Notamacropus eugenii: one gene and its partner. The main gene of each other region encodes a partner of the protein of the gene in region 2 in a complex. Links are inferred from orthologs where the notes say so. Each region holds a gene or a part of one and is shown on either strand. Other genes may lie near its edges. The genes, in order: ANKS4B and CDHR5.

Region 1 (9,739 bases), on a different chromosome or scaffold from region 2:
GTCCTCATAATTGTGTCACTTCCAGAATCAATCTCATCAATGTATACTTGATCCAATCCAGTTGCTTTCCCACCTTGCTTCTCTCTAGCATCATTTCTGTCTCCTCTATGAGTATAAGTATGGTGGTTCTGTCCTTATTGATGAAAGATATTTGTGATTTTAAAAAATCCTTATAAATCTTTTTCATTTTTTAAATTTTTTGTTCTCTCTCCTTTCTCATCCCTAATTTTCTTGGGATGAACTTGTTTGGTTGGGTCTATTGTCAAACTTTCTTTAAATTGGTTCTAATCTATATTGCTTCTCTCTGATAAAGTCCACTGTTTCTCTGGTTTATCAGTATATACTGCTCACAATCTTGCATCATCCACTAAACAAGATTTTATAAATGAGTTTCATTCTAGGTTAGTGCTTCCTCTGGCTACTATTTCTTTCTCTTTGGTGAATAAATCAAGAATTTGCTGACTAAGACTTTAGACTCTTTGAGTTTCCATGTTATGATAATTGGTTTAAAGTTAAAATTATTATCTGTGTCAATGCCCTTCCTACCATTATCATACCTTTTTCATTGGGTTCATTCTTTGTTGCCGAAGAAGACCATGCCATCAGAGAAATGATGATGTGACTTGTACTTGAATTTGTTTTGAGTGAGGGAAATCTGTGCAAGGTCACCAGCCTCATTTCTCCTCCCTATAACTTGTTTGTATAACATAAACAAGTTATAAAATAACTTGTTTTATAAGTCAGGTTTAAATTGTTTCAACTGCATTCCATATGTTTTATTTCCTTTTATTCTTTCCCCTTGTGTTGTATTCATTTTGATCTTTGATCTCACAAGTCTACAGACTGACTGGTCAGGAATTGCTCCCACACTAGTAATGAAGCATTTCCAGTTATTAAAAAGATAATAAATTCTTTTGTGATGCTGTTTGGTTCTCACCACGTCTAGAGCTTAATGAATCTTTTCTTGAAGAAAATCATGGCATTTAGGCTTAAGGCTTCATCTTTGTACTCTTTCATTCTTTTTTGCTGATCCTTTTTTTCAATATATTTCTTGTCATTGTTACCTTGTCCTACCTTTGCATTGAAGTCACTAAGTAACCAAGTATGTGCTGATTTACTTTGGAAGATCTTATCAAGTTCTACTGTAATTTTTCTCTTTGTTCTGTACAATAAATGTTAGTGCATAAGGTATAATTGTTTTCATAGTGATCTTTTTGGAACTACTTATCTTGAGCACCATATTAGATTACCAAATGTTCTATGCATTGATGTTTCTTATTGTTTGGGAATGTCTAATAAGACCAACTGTCAATGCCCTTGTCTCACCAAGGAATACCTATCAACCATCCTTACACTCAGCTTCAACTTCTTTCTTCTAATTCTGTTTATAGTAAGCTGGTCAAGATAAGTATTATTCAGTTCCATACTTAAATGTGCAATGGTGGTCATCCCATGGAATATGCATGCAGCTGAACTGATCTCCCTTAGGTCATCTCTGAATTGGGACATGTGCTGAGCTGATAATGGGACTAAGCTGTTTGGGATGATAAAGCAATCTCTTTATTGGTCACTTAGTCCATGTGACAGTGTCACAGGCAAAGGGTGCCTGTGTCAAAGAGCATTGGTCACTGAGTCACATTAATGTTTTCTATCACATTATGGATATGACTAAGAATCTACTTATTCAATTCTGAGGCTGGAATGGAGGACCTTCAAGGTCAGTTAGTTTAGACCCTTGCTTCTAGGAAAGATTATACATAAATTATCCTAGACAACTATTCCTCCAATTCTTAAAGATCCCTGGGGAATGAAATTTCAGGTATATGATTTTTTCTCTTCCTTTTTCATATTCCTTTCCTTCCCCACTCTCATCTCTCCACTATAACTCCCTATGTTAATCCCAATCCTTGTCATATATTGTGCTGAGATTGGCAGTCCTTGAAAGTGTTCAGCTGAGGTTCCAACTCTTTTCCCCTACTTTTCTTTTCTGATTTGAATAATGCAATGAAAGTGGTTCATCTTCCCCCTTTGCTACCATTCATCCCATAATACCTTTCGTACAATCTGACACAATTGTGCTGTGTTGGCTAATCAATGTTCTTATATTTTGTTAAGGCCCCTTTTCTCTTTCTAAGTGAATAATCCTTTTTGGTAGGGACTGGCTTTTGAATCTTGTTTTATTATTCATTGAGAATTAGTTAGCATCTTCAGTGGAATACAAGGAATTCTGTGGTAACCTCACCTTGATTATTTTCTTTTCTGTACTTGGAGTAAGGTAGATCCTGAAGAAATGATTCTGCCCAAAGCTAATCCTATATGAAAATAAGTGGATAGGCATCATCCTAGAGGTGCATGGAAAGCTCAGTGCCTAAAACTATTCTTACCTTTCTGATCTGAAATCATCACCTGTGGATTACAAGTGGACTAGAGGACAAAGCTGGAAAAAGCTCCCATTAATATAATTTACCTCAGAATGGCTTTTAAGCCTTTTTCCATTAGCACATTGGGGAAAGCTAGTTTATTAGATCATCTTTGAAACTAATGAGAGTAGATGTTAAATAAATTTCACAGAGAAGCAGAGAAAGGTTAAGGAGTAAGGGAGTCAAGGAACAGCAGGAGAGTAGCAGACTAAGGGAGACATCCCTATAATTGGGAGTTGGGGGAAGTCAATGTCAAAGTTGAACAGAATACGTAAAACTTTGCTAATTTCACCACTATGTCTAGGGCTGGCCTTGACCCTGATATTCTCCATCATAAACATCTTTTCAATTTCTTTCCTCCTTTCTTTCTGTGTAATGCCCCCCCCGTCTCTGTCTCTCTCTCTCTCTCTGTCTCTCTCTCTCTCTCTGTCTCTGTCTCTCTCTCTGTCTCTCTCTCTCTCTCTCTCTCTCTCTCTCTCTCTCTCTCTCTCTCTCTCTCTCTCCCTCTCTCCCTCCCTCCCTCCCTCCTTTCCTCCCTCCCTCCCTCCCTCCCCCTTTATTGCACTCCCCCCAACACATATACTGCTTAGTTCTATTGGTGGTCCTCAGAATTAAGCAAATTGCTAATGCCTCAATTAGAACAAAGAGAGATCATTGTTTAGGCCTAGTTTTGGATGAAGTAGTTCCCATAGTGAGGCAAACTCAAAGTCCTATTTATAGCTTATTTAATTGACTCATAAATAAGCCTGCCATCCAACTTTGAAACTGGGTCTCGCTACGGTGTCAGGGACCAGATCTTCAAGAAGGGAACAACTTCATCCAGCGACTTCATAGGTGAAGAGAAAATAAAAATTCTATAAACTGGAATTTATGCTGGTAATGTTCTTGGAAATAGAACTTCTTAAAAGTTGAGCATTTACTTTTGGGTAAAAAGATTCATAAAATAATAGAATTGCTTCTCTCCTATCCCCACCTCCTACTCATTTAAACTGCATTTTAAAATCATGCCAGATACACGGAGTTTATCGTCTTGAAAATATTCAGCAAAGATTTTTAAGTATTTATCCTTGGCAACACATTCCAGTGTCTCTGGCTTATAAAAGAAACATCATCTATTCTTTGCCATTATCACCAGATCATCTTGCTCCATCCTCAATGGCAAAACAAAATAAAACAAAAAACCTAGCATCAGCTCAATGGTTAAAAAAAAATGCATTTCTGGATCTAGGTAAATGTCTATTATTATTATCACAATCATTATTATTGAGATAGGCCTGTCATTCAGAATTGTAAAACACAAGGAAGAGGCGCTAACTATAGGATTTCCCCATTTCCCAAGGAGGCAGTTATTTAAAGACTTCAGGAAAGACTTGTAGGATTTGTCCCACGTGCCATTTACTTTACTCTCATGTGAAAAAATCCCCTGAGTAACTTGGCCTTTATCAAAAACTATAGTCTAAACTTACCCCCTACTACAGATGATCTCCAGAGCTTCCAAGTTGCCATGGTAGGCTGCCAGGAGTGTGGGAGTCATGCCATCTTCATCAGACAGATTAAGATCTCGCTTGGTAGCCTCTTTCAGAATTTCCAGGTAGCCATCAGTCGCAGCTTGGTGGTACCGGGTGGACATTTTAAATTCAGCTCTTCTCTTACCTCAGCCAGCACTCAGAGTGTTTGCCCTAAGTCTTCTGCCAGGCAGAGGCCTACCCAGCAGCCCTGCCTCAATGGGAGGGGTTAATCAGTGACTATAAACTGCAGTATACCTTCAATAAGGTAGAAATATGAGGGCAAAGCTCATCACCTGTCTGCCTCCCTGGAGGAAGCCAGAAAAGTACTTAGATCTGACAGAGGAAATTTTCCTTCCAGAATGGCTGCCAATGGTTATTTTATTTCCTTCACACTCCCAAGTATTTTACAGTTTGGGGGAAAAAGGAACTGAAACAGAGGTTACATCACTAACTGATTATCATAAAGGTGACATAGGCAATATAGTCATTGAACAAAAGGAGACAGTTTTCATTGTCATATAATCTAGCACTACTCCCCAGATTTTATTGGGAAAGTATCTTTTTAAACTATGCTTTCCTCTCTTCTGTTTTCTCTGTCCCCCACTGTCACAAAGAAGACATTATTCCAGGGGGATGCTTTTACGTTTCATGGGTCTTCCGTTCTCAGCTACTTCTCAACAATAATTAGAGATTTAAGCTGACCTTTGATCCTTTTCCTGGTTGCCATGTAAACAGTAGGAGGAGTATTTGAGATAACTGAGTCATTTGGTTGCAAAGAGGAACAAATTCTCCTAGAGCAGGCTAACTTTGTTCAGGGGTTATGGCTAACCTGGGAATGAAGAATGAATCGAACAGAAATGTTGATTCACTTATGAAGAAGCTTTTAATCCACACAATTTAAATTTACTGTCATTCCTATTTTAATCATTTTAATTTCTTTTGGCCCTAGATAATCTTTCTTTGTCTCTCAACCAATGTAATTTTCTTTAAAAAAACCAAAACCAAAACAATATCCATATCTTGCCCCCAAACCTTGAGAGAATTTGTTAATTATATGGATTTCTTTTTTGCTTCTTAACTGTTTATTTACTTGTCTTGCGTTTCTCCCATTTGAAGTATTTCTAGATCAAGTAACCTGTTTGTCTCTGGTGTCTTTAGAAAGAATGATGACAATAGCTTTCTTTGGGAAGGCTTTGAAAGAGAAAGCTTTGGGGAAAGAAAGAATGTCTTGAATGACTGTGATATAACAAGAAAAAGGCATCAATAGCACTTCTTTTTACAGTCCCTTTTTTGGTGAAATCTTTTGTTATTGATGAAGATGCTCCACATTGCATATTTTGGGATGGATTCTGATTGCCTTGGCTGGGGTGGGGGAGGGATATTATATCATATTCCAAAGGTTATTTGAATAGCTTTTCCCTAATATCTAAAAGCCTCTCTCTTTTCTGCCTGCAGTATCTATTATTAGACATTGAAATTTGGTGTTTAACTACTGTGTTGCTTAGAGATTAAAGATCTTATCTGTCCTCCAGGATTGCCATCGATCAGAACTCTGTCATCCATTTTCAATATTCCTAGATAATTTTCATGCATTGTTCCTACAGTACGGTAGTCAGAATTTTCAAATCAATAACATTTTCCCAGGATATCAATAATCCTCAGTTTATCTCTGAGTCCTTTTCTCAAGGTCAGTTTGACTTTTGTAGAATATGAATTCTTCTAACGATGTTATCCTTTGGCTCTGTTTTACCAAATTTTCCTTATCTATAGTTTTGAATCCCAAATCTTTCATTCCTTTTTTACAGTTTCAATGGTTTTATAGACATATGTTTTTGTATTGTAGGAGAATCTAGATGAAAAGCATCATCCTACACAGAATTAATAAACTTTATTTCCCCTCATAGGGCAAGAAAGCTGATTTCAGGGACAATCTCAATGTACAGCCCCTGTACCTGCAGTGGGGTAGCACCAGGTAGCAGGGGTGGGAGGAGGAAGGATCCATACTTCAGTTGATAGAAACCCTCAGGCTAAAATTCATAGATTGTTTGAGAAAAGAAGCAGTATCTTACCAAGGTAAGGCTGACTTGTTTTCTATAGAACCCAAAAAGTGAGAGTATTTATAAAATTACCTAATGAAGAAGGAGGGACATGAGCAGGGAACTAGAAATGAGGAGAAGGGAAAAAGGAAATTTAATTCTAATAGTACCATTCCAGGAAAAGGTTGAAAATGGAGCTTAATGTCTGGGTTTTTGTATACTTGCTTGGGGGTTGTGGGGGGCATCTACGGCCTTATCAATCAAACTGGCTTTCACCCATCCACATTTATTAACTACCTACTTACTCATTTGTTTTGCTGAATTCTTTAGTAGAAGCTCTGGTTTATTGATTAATCTCAGACCTGTTTTCTATTCTAAATTTTCTTATTTCTTTTTAAAAAATTTGTGGAATTTCTTGTTGTTGTTTTTCCTTTTTTAAAAAAATCCAATATTTTTTTCGCATTTCTTTCCAAAACAAATTTTATGGTATCTTTTGTTTTTACAGTACCTATATTTCCCAATTTTTCTCTCCTCCTTCCCTTCACAGAGAGCTATCCTTATAACAAAAAAATTTTTAAAAGATAGAAATCAGTTCAACAAAGCAACACAACGGAAAAAAGTCCAACATTGTCAATATTATTTCAAACTTCATAATCCTCCACTTCTTCCAAAAAGGTAAGGAACTGCCTTGTTCTATTTCTTCTTTCAAGTCAAGCTTGGTTGCTGCAATTTCATAGCATTCAATTTCCTTCTGGAACTTTGGTTAGACTCAGCCGTGTATTTGGACAGTGTTCTGCTGTCTCTTCCTAATTCTGATATCCAGTTACCTTCTCTGTGTTTTGAAAAGATGCATTATTGTTGTTCGTATTGTTTTTATTATCTTATCATTCTAACTTGGCCAACCCTGACTGATGGGATAGCTTGTCAGTCCATTCTTAATGCCACTTCTGGCCATGGGAAAAGGTTAAAAAAAGAGATTTAGTTGATTTAATTGAAGTGATCTAATTTGGTAGGTTTTCCCATATCTTCAACTGGTAACTCTTGCTGTGCCAGCACTAACTTTTTCAATTCAGGGTTTAGTCTGCAGGGTTTTTTATTCCCACAGATTTGCAGTTTCTCCTGTAAATCTAACTAAAGGAAAGATATCAAGTATGAGCATGTGCATTCTGGGTCAGATATATTAAAGAGTCCAATTTGAATTGACTAAAAGTAGCAGTAGTAAAATTATTTTATTAGGAACTGCAAGGTATTTCATTCCTTTGTGGTCATTTAGGTAGAGGGTGGGGAGGACAGAGAGAAGAAAGCAAAGGGTATTACAAATTCATATGTGTACAAATTTCTAATCCACCCTGAGAGAAACTTGCTAGCAAACTTCCAACTAGATTTTTTTCCCTTTGTTTTATAAAGCTATTCATTGCTAAACTGTAAGAGAAATTCAGTGGCTTGAGTGGCCCAGAAATACATATATTCATGTAATAAGTATACTCTCTCTTGCCCTCAAGAGATCTAGTTTTCAATAAGCAGTTTCTCTCCAGTCTCTAAAGCTTTTCATTTCTGATTATAAAAGAAACTTGCTTGCATGGAACAGAAACCCACACATATTTTGGTAATAAGGAAAAAGGCAATGAGAGGAAATCTGCCTTTCAATTCATGTTGCCTTGGTTTTGTATTTCATTTAAGGCAAAACCAACCAGGAAATAAAGGAGTTTCAAAAAAAACCCTTAACAACATGACCCATAGGAAAGTACAAACAATACCTCACTTCGCTACCTTGCAATCTGTTGTGAACTTGTGCATTATCCTATAAAATCTCATTATCTGTTCAGATAAGCACATTGTTGTCAAATGAACTCTTCAGAAAATGACTGCTAGATCTCTGTTTTCTTTTTTGCCATTCGGCCAAAACTGTTTCAACCAACTTGAATAAGACTTTTCTTGTTCACAAGATTTCAGATACTAAGAATAATTGCCTTGTTTTCCTATTAAAAGGATGTAAAAAGACACTTTTTCCTCACATCATTACCATTGCCTACCCATTCTTTTTTCTCTTTCATATTAAAATGTAAGAGAAAAACTAGGTGGGTAGATTGACTCATGGAATTTTAACGCTTCTGAAGGGCTGGTGGGACTTAATTTGTTCACATAAGTTTCAAACTATTCACAGTCCTATTTTCCTGCCAGAATAAAAGACAAAGTTGCTATTGTACCATCTGGTTTGCATGAGGTATTATTTGGCATCTCTCAACTGCATATTTTAAAAATGCTAAATCCCAGACGGTATTACAGTCTAATTAGGACCAGAAACAATAAAGAGGGCTTTTTGTTTTTTGTTTTTTAAGTCCAGCCAAAAAAGAAAAGAAAAGAGAGAAAGAAACCAACCCTCTCATGATTTAGATGTGCTTTATAACGAAGAAAAATGGAGAGGGGCGGGGGGAGAAGAGACATTCGCAGTAAGTGCTATGAATTTTAATTCTACATTTGCAATTAATTGGCTTTTGTGATCTAGGGAAAGTTCTCTCTTTCTTCTCCATTTTTCAGATTTCATACCAATAAATTATTCTGACCTGAAAGTCTCAATCAGGATAATCATATACTTGTTACCCCTTTTCAGATAACAAAGGTCATCAAAATCCATGTAAAATTACAGAATAGATGACCTCTTTAAAGCTTTTATTGGCTGCCATTTTCTTTCACTATGGCAGACTGAATTATAAATCAAACTTAAAATAATATGCAAGTGATTATCAATAGAAAAGGATGCTAATGACTTGATTAGGTTCCTTGGCTTTTCTCTGAAAAAATTCTACTAGTGAATCATCAACTCACATGGTTTCATTTACCATCCATACCTCCACAGTCTCATATGTTGTCTTCTCTTCGGTCCCTCATGCCTTTCTGTGTACAAGGCCTTAGCCTAAAAAGGGTCGGGGTCTCCCATTGCATCCTGGGCCATCTCTAGTCATCCTGATGAATATCTGGCCACTTGATCCAGATGGCTCTAGAGGAGAAAGTGAGGCTGGTGACCTTGCACAGCCCTCTCTCACTGTAGCAACAAGCACCCCTTCTTTGTGGGGGGAGGGCTGTCACAGTCTCAGATATATTTTCCAGAAAGGGAAGCACCAACATCTGGGTTTTCAAAGCTAGAGGGGCTGCTTAGTGCCTTCTCAGAATCTCATCAAGCCAAACAAATACTTCCAGTCAGTAAGCCCCAAAGTAAAACTTCACCCTCAGAGTATTTATACATTTTTTAGAGCCAGAGGGCATCACAACCCTTCAGAGTCAATACCTCATTAGAAAATTAACAAAAGGTATGAGCCTTCCTACAAATCTTCCCAGGTCCATTAATGGGTAAGGAAGATCTTCCCATTAAAAAGCAAAATTATATTAACAGTAAGCAAAAATGCATTATCAATGTACTCACTCAAATCAAAACTAACTGAAAGTCATGTCATCATTTCCCTGATGTCATGATCCTCCTCGAACACTAAGGACAAACAACCCTGTGAGTAGTCCGAGCTGCCTGAATGGGGACCTAGCCAGTAGGGTAACTCAGCTCATCCTGTCCCTTCCCTCTCCTCTCCAAAGGAAGGTAAATTTTGATGGCTAGAAGCTGCCCAGTCAGACAACTTATGGTAGAGTGGAAAGCACACTGTATATCCCTCTACCTAAAGCAAAGTATGAAAGAAATAGTTTCTTCTAAATTTTCTTCTCTAGGTTTATGAAAGACGGACACTTTAATGCACTGTTGATGGAACTGTGAATTGGGCTGACCAAT
Region 2 (9,677 bases):
TCTACAAGAGGTGCTGGATAAGTGAAATCTACAAGACATGCTGCAGAGGTGAAAGTTACAGACTTTAGTCAACACATTGGAGCTGGGGGGTAAAAGTCAGGAGTCCAGGAGTCCAGTCAAAGTTGGGACCCTGAGGGACCAGGAGAAGGGTACCCTCCACACTAATACAGAAGGTTTGGGGAAAAAGAACTTCAGTTTTGGACATGTTGAGTTTCAGATGTCTACGTCCAGTTCAAGATGTCTGAAGGGTAGATGGAAGACTGGAGGTCAGTTGGGAAGTGGGGGCGGGAAGGATAGATTGATTTGAGAATCCTCAGCACAGAGATGGTCATTAATCCATGGTTGCTGATAAGATCTCCAGGTGAAACAGGGAGAAGAGCAGAGGGCCCAGGCCACAGCTAGAGGGACACCCTCCCAGTTGGGGAGGGCATAGGCTAAGAAGGGGAGCATACCTAGACCTGCTTCTCACCTGGACTACCAGGTTGAAAGTCTTGGGGACAGGGACAGCTTTGGCCATGGTGACGTTGCCTGAGTCCACGTCAATTTGAAATGTATCATCTGCATTCCCTGGGGAAGTTTGGGGGGAAGGGAGGTCACCTTCAGTCATCTTTGTGCCTGCCCCCTCCTCCACCCAGAGATAGTGTGGTGGGCAGGCAGCACAGAGGGCCTAGACTCTGATGGGTTGGCAGGGGTAGGATGGATCTCACCTGCAATAATGCTGTATCTGATTGGTTCGTTGATGGCAGTGTCTCCATCAATTGCATATACAGGCCCGGGTTCGAAGGTCAGGGGTAATGTCTACAGGAAGGTAAGAGGAGAACCAGTGGGGGTGGTGTCTCTGACCCAGCCTCCCCTAGTCACACAGACTGGCCAGGTGAGAGGACTGGTAGCCTTCTACAGTGTCCATCTCTTGAGTCCCAAACTGACCCTAATTGGCCTGTACAAATTTCCTGCAGGAAGTGAGCAGTGCCCAGACCTGTCTGCCGAGGAGGCAGAAATAAGGCCACTGGTGGGCTCATCTGGGAGATTATGGAGGGAACTTCCTTGAGAAACTAGGTCATATTAGGAGAGAAAATTGTTATTAAATGATTAGGGCTGGGGACTGGACCCAAGCTTGAGCGGGGTCAGAAACATGCAAGAATATGAGGTTCGGGGCACAAGTCTCCAAAGGATCTGAAAGTCTCCAAGGTTCTCATCCTCCTCATCTCAGCTGTGTCAGACTCTGGATGGAAATAGTCTCCAGCCCTAGTCACTTAATAATTATTTTCTCTCTTAATTTGGCCCAGATTCTCAAGGAAGTCCTTCCTGTATCCTCCCAGACATGCCCACCAGTGGCCTCAGCCCTGCTTCCTTGGCAGGAAGGTCCAGGTACTGCTCACTCTTTTCAGGAACTCTCTGAAGTCCAGTTGGGGTCAGGTTGGAGCCCCCAGGGATGGACACTGTGATCAATGGAGCCCTTTGGGAGACCTTCACTGGCCCTCCCTTCTGGCTACTGAGCATGGGTGGTTAGGAGAGCATGTGAGGAGAGATGCCTCCCTGCCCCCCACCCCAAGCATGGACATTACCAGTATGGAGCCAGTCGGCACAGCTGCTCGGTACTGTGCATTGATGCAGACTCGCCCATCAGTGAACACACAGGGTAAGAACCATGGAGGGCGTATGTCTGCAGGTATCACTTGAATTATGACTGTGGCTGTGGAGGTGTGGCTGGGCTTCACCGCTGGCTCTGAAGTGTCCTGTGGCAGAGACCCCAGCCACACATGAGTGGGATACAGCAGGGCCTCACTGACCACTCCATATTGGTGCGGGGGTACTCTTTTCTATGATCCCCTTCAAAGCTCCTGGTCTTAGAGGATAAAGAGGTCTACTTGGGAACTGGGGGTCACTGGGCATAGGCTTTGCCGTTTTGGTCTGTCAGGACACCTATGTGCCCAAAGGCTCCAGCACATAGATAGAGCTCAAAGAGCCTGAGGAAGCATCCCTCATTTTATAGAGGGAGAAGTCAAGGCCTAGACAGCGGCCAGGACTACCTAGAACCACACAGCCAGACTCCTTGGGGACCCAGGAAGGGGAGGAACTCACTCTTGCCAGAAGGTGGAAGACCAGGATTGGGGTCTTCTCGTAGTCCAGAGCCCGGGTCAGTTGAAGGGCAGGGAAGTTAACCCCAACCAGGGAGAAAACCAGGTCTGCATCCTGAGGTGGAAGTGGAGGGGGCAGGAACCAGTTGGAACCCAATGCTCCCTTCTCTTTCCCCCCAACGCCCCCCCATCTCAGGTAAGTGGCTGAGTCATATACCCCAGTGGAGCCTAGCGCCAGGGTCTGACTGGGAGTTGGGGGGAGAAAGATGCTCCGGAGTCCTGGAGGGGTTGGGGGAGGGAGAGAGGGTGCCCAGGAGGAAGCCAGGTCAACTGACCGAGGGGCTCTGCCCTGAGAGATTGTAGAAGATCGTGTCCCCATCCTTGTCTATGGCTGTGAGTTCTGTGGCTGAGATGACAGTAGTCCCCACGTTGGTGTTCTGCCCAAAATTTAGGAAGTTTGAGTGGGAACAGCTCAGCTCCATCCCTGGTTTGAACCCCAGTCCCCACCACACCACCCTGTGCATTGTGTAGCTCACCTCACTGACATTCCAGGCCTTACTGGAAAAGGCAAACACCGGGGCCATGTCATTGACATTGAGAACCTCCACAATCACAGGCAGAGTGGTCACCTGGGGCAACCCAGGGGTTAGAGGTCAGCAGTCATTCCTTCAGTCCAACCCACTTCCCCATCCCGATGCCTAGCCCCCACACTCACCACTTCAGACCCCTCCTTGCATTCTAACATTGCAGTCAACACGGTATGTGTCTGGGTGGGAGAAAGAAGGGAATGCAGAACCAGTCATTCTCAAAACAAACCAGGCCTCTGGACATCCACACTCTTATGTGACAGATTGAGCGGGGTCCCTCTTCCTGCCTCCCTGCCTGAGGTGGGGTGAACATAGGGGAATACCTAGAGGACCCAGGAAGGGGAAAAGGGATGGCATAGGGGGTTGGATCCTGGCTCACCTCATAATCAGGGGCCCTGGTGAGCCTCAGCTGACCATTCACAATATCGAAGATGTCCTTAGGACTGGATAAGTCACTCACAACCACTGTCTGCCCCAGGGGTGCTGTGACCGTGGCTAGGGGTTCGGTAGGGAGCTCATTCTCAGTCACAGAGAGCAGCGTCTGATTCACAGAGCACACTGTGGGGGGGAGGGGATTCCCACTCTGAATCAGCACTAACCCCTGAACTTCCCTGGAAGCCCCCTCCATCCCTGCCCCCAGCCTCTCCTCCCTCAAACCCTCCTCCCCCCAGCCCCCTGCTCCCAGCCTCTCCTCCCTCAGCCCCTCCTACCCCCCAGCCCCCATCCTTTCCTGCCCTTCACCATCTCCCTTGCCTCCCTGACTCTCTCCCCCAAGCCCTGCCTTCTTTTCAACCCCACTACCCTGGGTCTGGCCCTCAGCTCCAGGGAGAAGCAGCAGCAGTGGCAGAAGCCCCAGCGTCCACCCAGAGGCCTCCATGGTGGGAGAGCAACCCAGCCCTCCACCCGGGGAGCCTCTGAGGAAGGGGAGAAAAGATCCTTCAGCCTGGCTTGGCTCAGCCGGCCCTGCCCTGCTGCTCTCCTGGCACGAAGGAACGGAGAGCGACCTTTGAGACGGGCAAATGACGATTATTTATGGCACCTACAGCCAGGGCTCTGACACGCCCCCACCCCCAAGGTCTCAGCCCTCCCAGCACCCCAGAACAGAGCCTGGGACGCCGACCTCTGACTGGCCCTGGCCCTGGGGAGGTGTTGGGGAACACAAGCTTGAGTCTGGGTTGTAGAGAATCAGAAGATCCCTGCCCTTTGTCCCTCCACCGAACACAGGAGGAAATGAAACAGTCGCCCTGGACCTTTGAGGGCTTCCCAGGCTGCCCGTTCTTCTGGAGCATCCATCCTGTCCCTCCCTCCTCATTTCAGACCATTAACTAGTTAGTGGCCTCAACTTCGGAAAAAAGAACTTTGTGTTCCCTTGCTGTGCCCGGAGGGCCCAATCCTTGGGAAGACGTGAGAGGATGAGACCTCCTTCAGCTGGGAATGACAGGAGAGGTCATTTGTATGGGAGACTGGTTGTCAGGGCTGGGGCTGGGAAGGGAATCAGGCTGCTCATTTCAGGCATAGGGGAGGGAGCAATGGATGGACCCCCAGATACCTGCACAGGCCCTCTGGCAAAGGAGCTCGGGAAATTTTCTGTTCTTCATTATGAACTGAATCACTCAAAAACAACCAAAACCAGTAACTCACATTTCTATAGTGGTCTAAAGTTTACAAATAGTCAACTAGTCTTTCTCAAGTACCTAATATATGCCTGGCATTGTGTTAAGCCAGGAGTGGGGAAACCTGTGGTCTCATGGCTCCCAAGTGCGACTTTGAATCCAAACTTCACAGAGCATTTGTGCACAGAGGATTCATTTTGTGAAGTTTGGATACAGTAAAGGGCTGCATTTGAGGGCCTAGAGGGCCACACGTGGCCTCGAGGCTGTAAGTTCCCTAGTCCTGTATTAAGCATTGGAGAATACATAGAAACGTCCAGATAGGATGGCATTTGACTCTCACAGACTGTTCTGTTTGTTGTTATCAAGTCATATCTGATGCTTTGTGACCCCGTTTGTGGTTTTCCTGGCACAGATACTAGAGGGGTTTGCCATTTGGTTCTCTAGCTCATTTTACAGATGAGGAAACTGAGGCAAATAGAGTGAAGCAACTTGTCCAGGGTCATTTAACTAGTAAATGTCTGAGGCTGGGTTTGAACTCAGGTCCTCCTGACTCCAAGTGCAGGGCTCTAGAACTCAGGGAGAGAGAGGGCAAGATTGATCCTCTCTGATCATACTTATCTCCACCCACTGGGGGCTGATTGAGGTGGGGAACGTTCACTGGAGATTAGCTACAGAGGGTTTTATTCCAAGGCTAAGGAGGTCAGGGCTACTAGGCTTCCTTTCTAAGCAAAGTTAGAAAGATAGAAAAGTCAGAGTACAAAGAAAACTCCCAAAGAGCTGAATGCCCCCCAGACTTTGGCGGATTGGCCGGTCCCAGGCAGCTGACTTAGTATAATTACTGCCTTCTGTGCCCCCACCCCGCCTCTCCCACTTTAAGCCTCCTTTGGCTGGCAGACCATTCTACTCCTGAGAAAGTGCAAGATGACAATGGAGTGAGCAGGAGAAAGGTAGCCTCTGTGCTCTGTCTCAGAAGACACAAGACCCAGACCTTAGGTTTGCTTTCCCCATTTTCCTTTGATTGAATCAGTAACTTCTTTTGTAATCTTGTTTCATTCACCAGCTAGAAAAGTTGGAATTTTCTCAAGTGATTCCACTGGCAACCCCATCACCCCAACAGGAATGTCCATGCTAGCCTATGGGGTCACCACCAACATCCCCCAGCCCAGGAGGGTGGGGAGTTCCTACCTGGATTCTATGGGCAGGGGGGCATTTGTGCTGGAGGGGTGGTCAGGGTAGAGAGGCAAAGAAGTGCGTGTGAGGCTTGGAAGATGGTGGTTTCCTTGGGAAGGTTACTTCGGGCTTTGGTTGCTCACCATGTGAACTCCTTTCCTTTGGGCATTTCTGCAGCCTTTAGACCTGCTGCTGCTAGAAACACATTCCTGGCCAATTCAAAATTTTCCTTCAGCACCAGTTCTTCAACTTATGTGCCTGCTGTAACCCAACATGCTCCATATTTTAAGGGTACAGCTGTTGTCAAAGGAGAATTCAAAGAAATCAGCCTTGATGACTTTAAAGGCAAATATTTGGTGCTTTTCTTCTATCCTCTTGATTTCACTTTTGTGCGTCTGACAGAAATTGTTGCTTTTAATGACAAAGCTAACGAATTTCATGATGTGAGCTGTGAAGTCGTTGCGGTTTCAGTGGATTCCCAATTTAGCCATCTGGCCTGAATAAATACACCAAGAAATAGTGGTTGTTTAGGCCATATGAATATTCTGCTCCTGTCAGATTTAACCAAACAAATTTCCCAGGACTATGGTGTTCTGCTTGAAGGACCTGGCCTTGCATTAAGAGGTCTCTTCTTAATTGACCCTAACGGAGTTATCAAACACATGAGTATCAATGATCTCCCTGTGGGCCAAAGTGTGGAAGAAACTCTTTGTTTGGTGAAGGCGTTCCAGTTTGTGGAAGTACATGGAGAGGTCTGTCCAGCAAATTGGACACCAAATTCGCTTACGATCAAGCCATCTCTGAATGCTTCCAAAGAATACTTTGGGAAAGTGAATAAATAAACAATACCAAGTATTGAAGACCCATGTGGCTTTTTAAATTATGAAGAAACCACAAACTGGAATCTACAATAATATATAAAAAATTACTGCATATAGAAGAGTAGAATATGTGCAAGTTATGCCTATTTCTGTGAATTTCACCCCCAAATGCTCAGTTTTCATCAAATTGCCCCCTCAAAAAAACTATTTAACTTTGATAGTTGTTGCTAGTTCAGAGTATCATTTAGTACAAAATCCTTGCTTTCCCCATAGGTCTCCTTTACACATTACACTTAACATATATTTGGTGTCTTCATCAGAACCTAGAGGTTCCCTTCCTGAATTGATAGGCTAAAGAAATCGCTGTTGTCTTTCTATGCGTAAGAAACAGGTGTAGCAATCAGAATGCTCTGAGGGGCTTGAGTTAGAGGTGAACAGGTATAACTGCTTTCCCTTAACTGATTATCCCTTTGTAGATTTTTTTTTTTATTATTAAACCATAGCCATTTTTCTCCATAAAGTGAATGTCCTGTAACTAAAGACAGTAACTTCAGAGGTCTAATTTGACTCATGGCATATTTGAGTATAAGACAAGTATGAAGTATATTTACTGTTTAAAAAAATCTAACACTTAACAGTAGTAAATTAAAGTAGTTAATCATGGGCAGACCAGAGATTTTTAATTCAGGGATTCATTTACCATTATTTGAAGTTTGAGTGAACTTTATGTCTTGATATATTTCAAATACTATTTAATTTGACTGTAAAAGATACTTGTTGAACCCCAGAGTTATGTATAATGCAGCTCTGGAAATTATTATTGAACATTTATTTTTTGTAGCTGGTGAATAGCTCAGTGTACATTCTTTAATCAAGAATAAAGAAATTTTAAAGTAAAAAAAAAAAGAAAGACGTGTGTGAATGTTTGTTGATGGCCCTTCTTCCCTTGTCTAGGAAGATGATGAAAAGATGCCATAGGTACAGTATAGTGGCACTGATCTTCCCTCAGAGGCTTATTAGCTATGTGACCCTGGCAAGTCACTTATCCTCTCAGCCTCAGTTTCCTTAACTGTCAAATAGGAATAATAGCAGCGCCCCCCTCCAAGATTATTATGAGGATCCAAAGAGATAATATTTGTAAAGTACTCAGCACAGTGCCTGGCATCTTGTACAGGTACTTAATAAATGTGTGTTTCAGAGGAGAGAAGTGGAGCCAAGCCGGTGGAGAAAAGGCAGGTGCTTGCCTCTCAGCACCTTTAAATAATGTCCCAAAACAATTCCTGGAGCAGCAGAACCCACAAAAGGATGGAGGGAAATAATCTTTCTAGCCAAAGACAACCTAGAAGGTAAGGTCAACAGGAAAGAGGGAAGGGAGCCGGCAGCTAGTCAGAGAGATGGACGCAGTGAGGCAGGATTCTGTTGCTTTGCAACCAAGAATAACCTATCCAGCAAGACTGAGTATAATCCTGAGTATAATTAGTGATGGGGAGCGAGTGAACTTTACTTTCATCATAGCTGACTCAAAGAGGAAATAACATACACATCCAGTTGAGTACAGAAATCTGTCTTACCCTACAGGAAAGGAGGGGAAGGGAGGTGATAGAAAGGAGGGCAGATTGGGAAAGGAGCAGTCAGAAGCAAAGCACTTGAGGAGGGACAGGATGGAGGGAAAAACCACTAGCAATAGTAATGGTGAAAAAAATTTTGGAGCAAGTTTCTCTGGTGAAGACCTCATTTCTCAAACATATAAAGAACTGAGTCAAATTTATAAAAGCAAGAGTCATTCCCCAATTGATAAACGATTAAAAGATATGAACAGTTTTTAGATGAAGTAATCAAATCTATCTATAGCCAACTGAACAAAACTCCGTATTGATTGGAAAAATGAAAATTGAAACAATTCTAAGGTGCTACCTCATACCTATTAAATTGGTTAATAGGACAGAGAAGGACAATGAACAATGTTGGAGGGGATGTGGGGAAAATGAGACATTAATGCACCGTTGGTGGAGTTATGACCTGATTCAGCCATTGTGTAGCACAATTTGGAACTCTGCCCAAAGGGTTACAAAACCATGCATTCCCTGGTTGGCCATGTTGTTCTAATGCGAAACGTGTGCTTGCCAAAAAAGACTCTTTTATGGAGAACTCACACAGGACAAGCGTTCACATGGTGGTCAGAAGAAGTGATACAAGGACACTCTCAAGGTCTCTCTGAAGAACTTTGAAATTGATTATGGGAGACAGACACAGGACCAGTTAGCATAGTGTGTTCTCATCAGAGAAGATGCTGTTCTTTATGAATGAAGCAGAATTGAAGCAGTTCAAAAGGAATACAAGATGCATAAATTTAGAGGATCCTCCCCAAATGTTCATATGGACTCTTTGTGCCCGACCTGCGGGGAACCATTCTTGTATTGGTCCAATCAGTCACAGTCAGACACAATGTCATTTTGGTCTTTAAGAACCAAGGACAACAACCAACCGACAGCTGCTAGGTCTCTATCCCGAAAGAGATAAAAAACAAAAAAGAAAAGGACCTATATGCACAAAAATATTTCTATCAGCTCATTTATGGGGGCAAAGAATTGGACATAGGTGACTACGTTGGAATACTATTGTACTAAAAGAAACGATGAGCAGAAAAGCTTGGAAAGACTTACATGAGCTGGTGCAAAGTGAAATGCACTGTGTACAAAGTGACAGCAGTATTATAAGGTGATCAGCCGGGAATGACTGAGCTATTCTCACCGATACAATGATCCAAGACAACTTTGAAGGCCTTAGGATGAAGGATATTCTTCATCCCCAGAGAAAGAACTGAGAGTGTCTGAATACAGACTGAAGTAGACTTTTCTTTATTTTTCTTGAGGTGGAGTTTTTTAATTTCTTTCACATCATGACCGATACGGAAGTGTTTGGCATGATGACCAAAGAAAAAAAGTAAATCGGTGTTTCCCTCCTTCCTTATTTTATAATGCATATACTCAGTGAATACAATCTTTTCCCACTTCTGAAGGCCAAAGCATGCCTTGTCTCACACTAGCTTCCCTCCTGTGGCTCACTCCTCCATCCTTCTGGCCCATTAGAGCTCAGAACCACCATGTGTTGTTGGTGTGAACTCTCTCGCTTGCCCTTTTTCTCCCCATTAGACTGGGAACACCTGAAAGGCAGAGATTGTTTTTTGCCTTTCCTTGTATCCGCAGCTTTTGGCACTGTGCATGGTGATTACAGGTGCTTAATAAATGCTTGTGGAGTGACAGATTGACTGATAAGTTGGCGAAAACCTATAAATTCCTTTGGTTTTAAATGAGAAAAGGGAAGTACATGGGATTCCAAAAGCAACCAGTTATGCTGCAACACAGTCATCAAAATATTTTAAGAGATAATAATTTTAAAAATGGGATG

The links.
Region 1: CDHR5 (region 2) and ANKS4B share a complex: the UniProt entries of both Homo sapiens proteins name them as parts of the IMAC/intermicrovillar adhesion complex. The link is inferred for Notamacropus eugenii from reciprocal best matches to the Homo sapiens genes CDHR5 and ANKS4B.

Annotation. Positions count from the first base shown.
Region 1 is NC_092874.1:397,908,630-397,918,368, forward strand, and holds the start of ANKS4B (ankyrin repeat and SAM domain-containing protein 4B), read right to left. Parts: upstream 4,131-9,739; 5' UTR 4,051-4,130; coding exon 3,887-4,050; intron 1-3,886. UniProt on the Homo sapiens protein: As part of the intermicrovillar adhesion complex/IMAC plays a role in epithelial brush border differentiation, controlling microvilli organization and length. Plays a role in assembly of the complex.
Region 2 is NC_092873.1:27,702,406-27,712,082, reverse strand, and holds the start of CDHR5 (cadherin-related family member 5), read right to left. Parts: upstream 3,638-9,677; 5' UTR 3,543-3,637; coding exon 3,467-3,542; intron 3,224-3,466; coding exon 3,045-3,223; intron 2,845-3,044; coding exon 2,794-2,844; intron 2,708-2,793; coding exon 2,615-2,707; intron 2,516-2,614; coding exon 2,414-2,515; intron 2,194-2,413; coding exon 2,083-2,193; intron 1,737-2,082; coding exon 1,566-1,736; intron 799-1,565; coding exon 708-798; intron 568-707; coding exon 470-567; intron 1-469. UniProt on the Homo sapiens protein: Intermicrovillar adhesion molecule that forms, via its extracellular domain, calcium-dependent heterophilic complexes with CDHR2 on adjacent microvilli. Thereby, controls the packing of microvilli at the apical membrane of epithelial cells.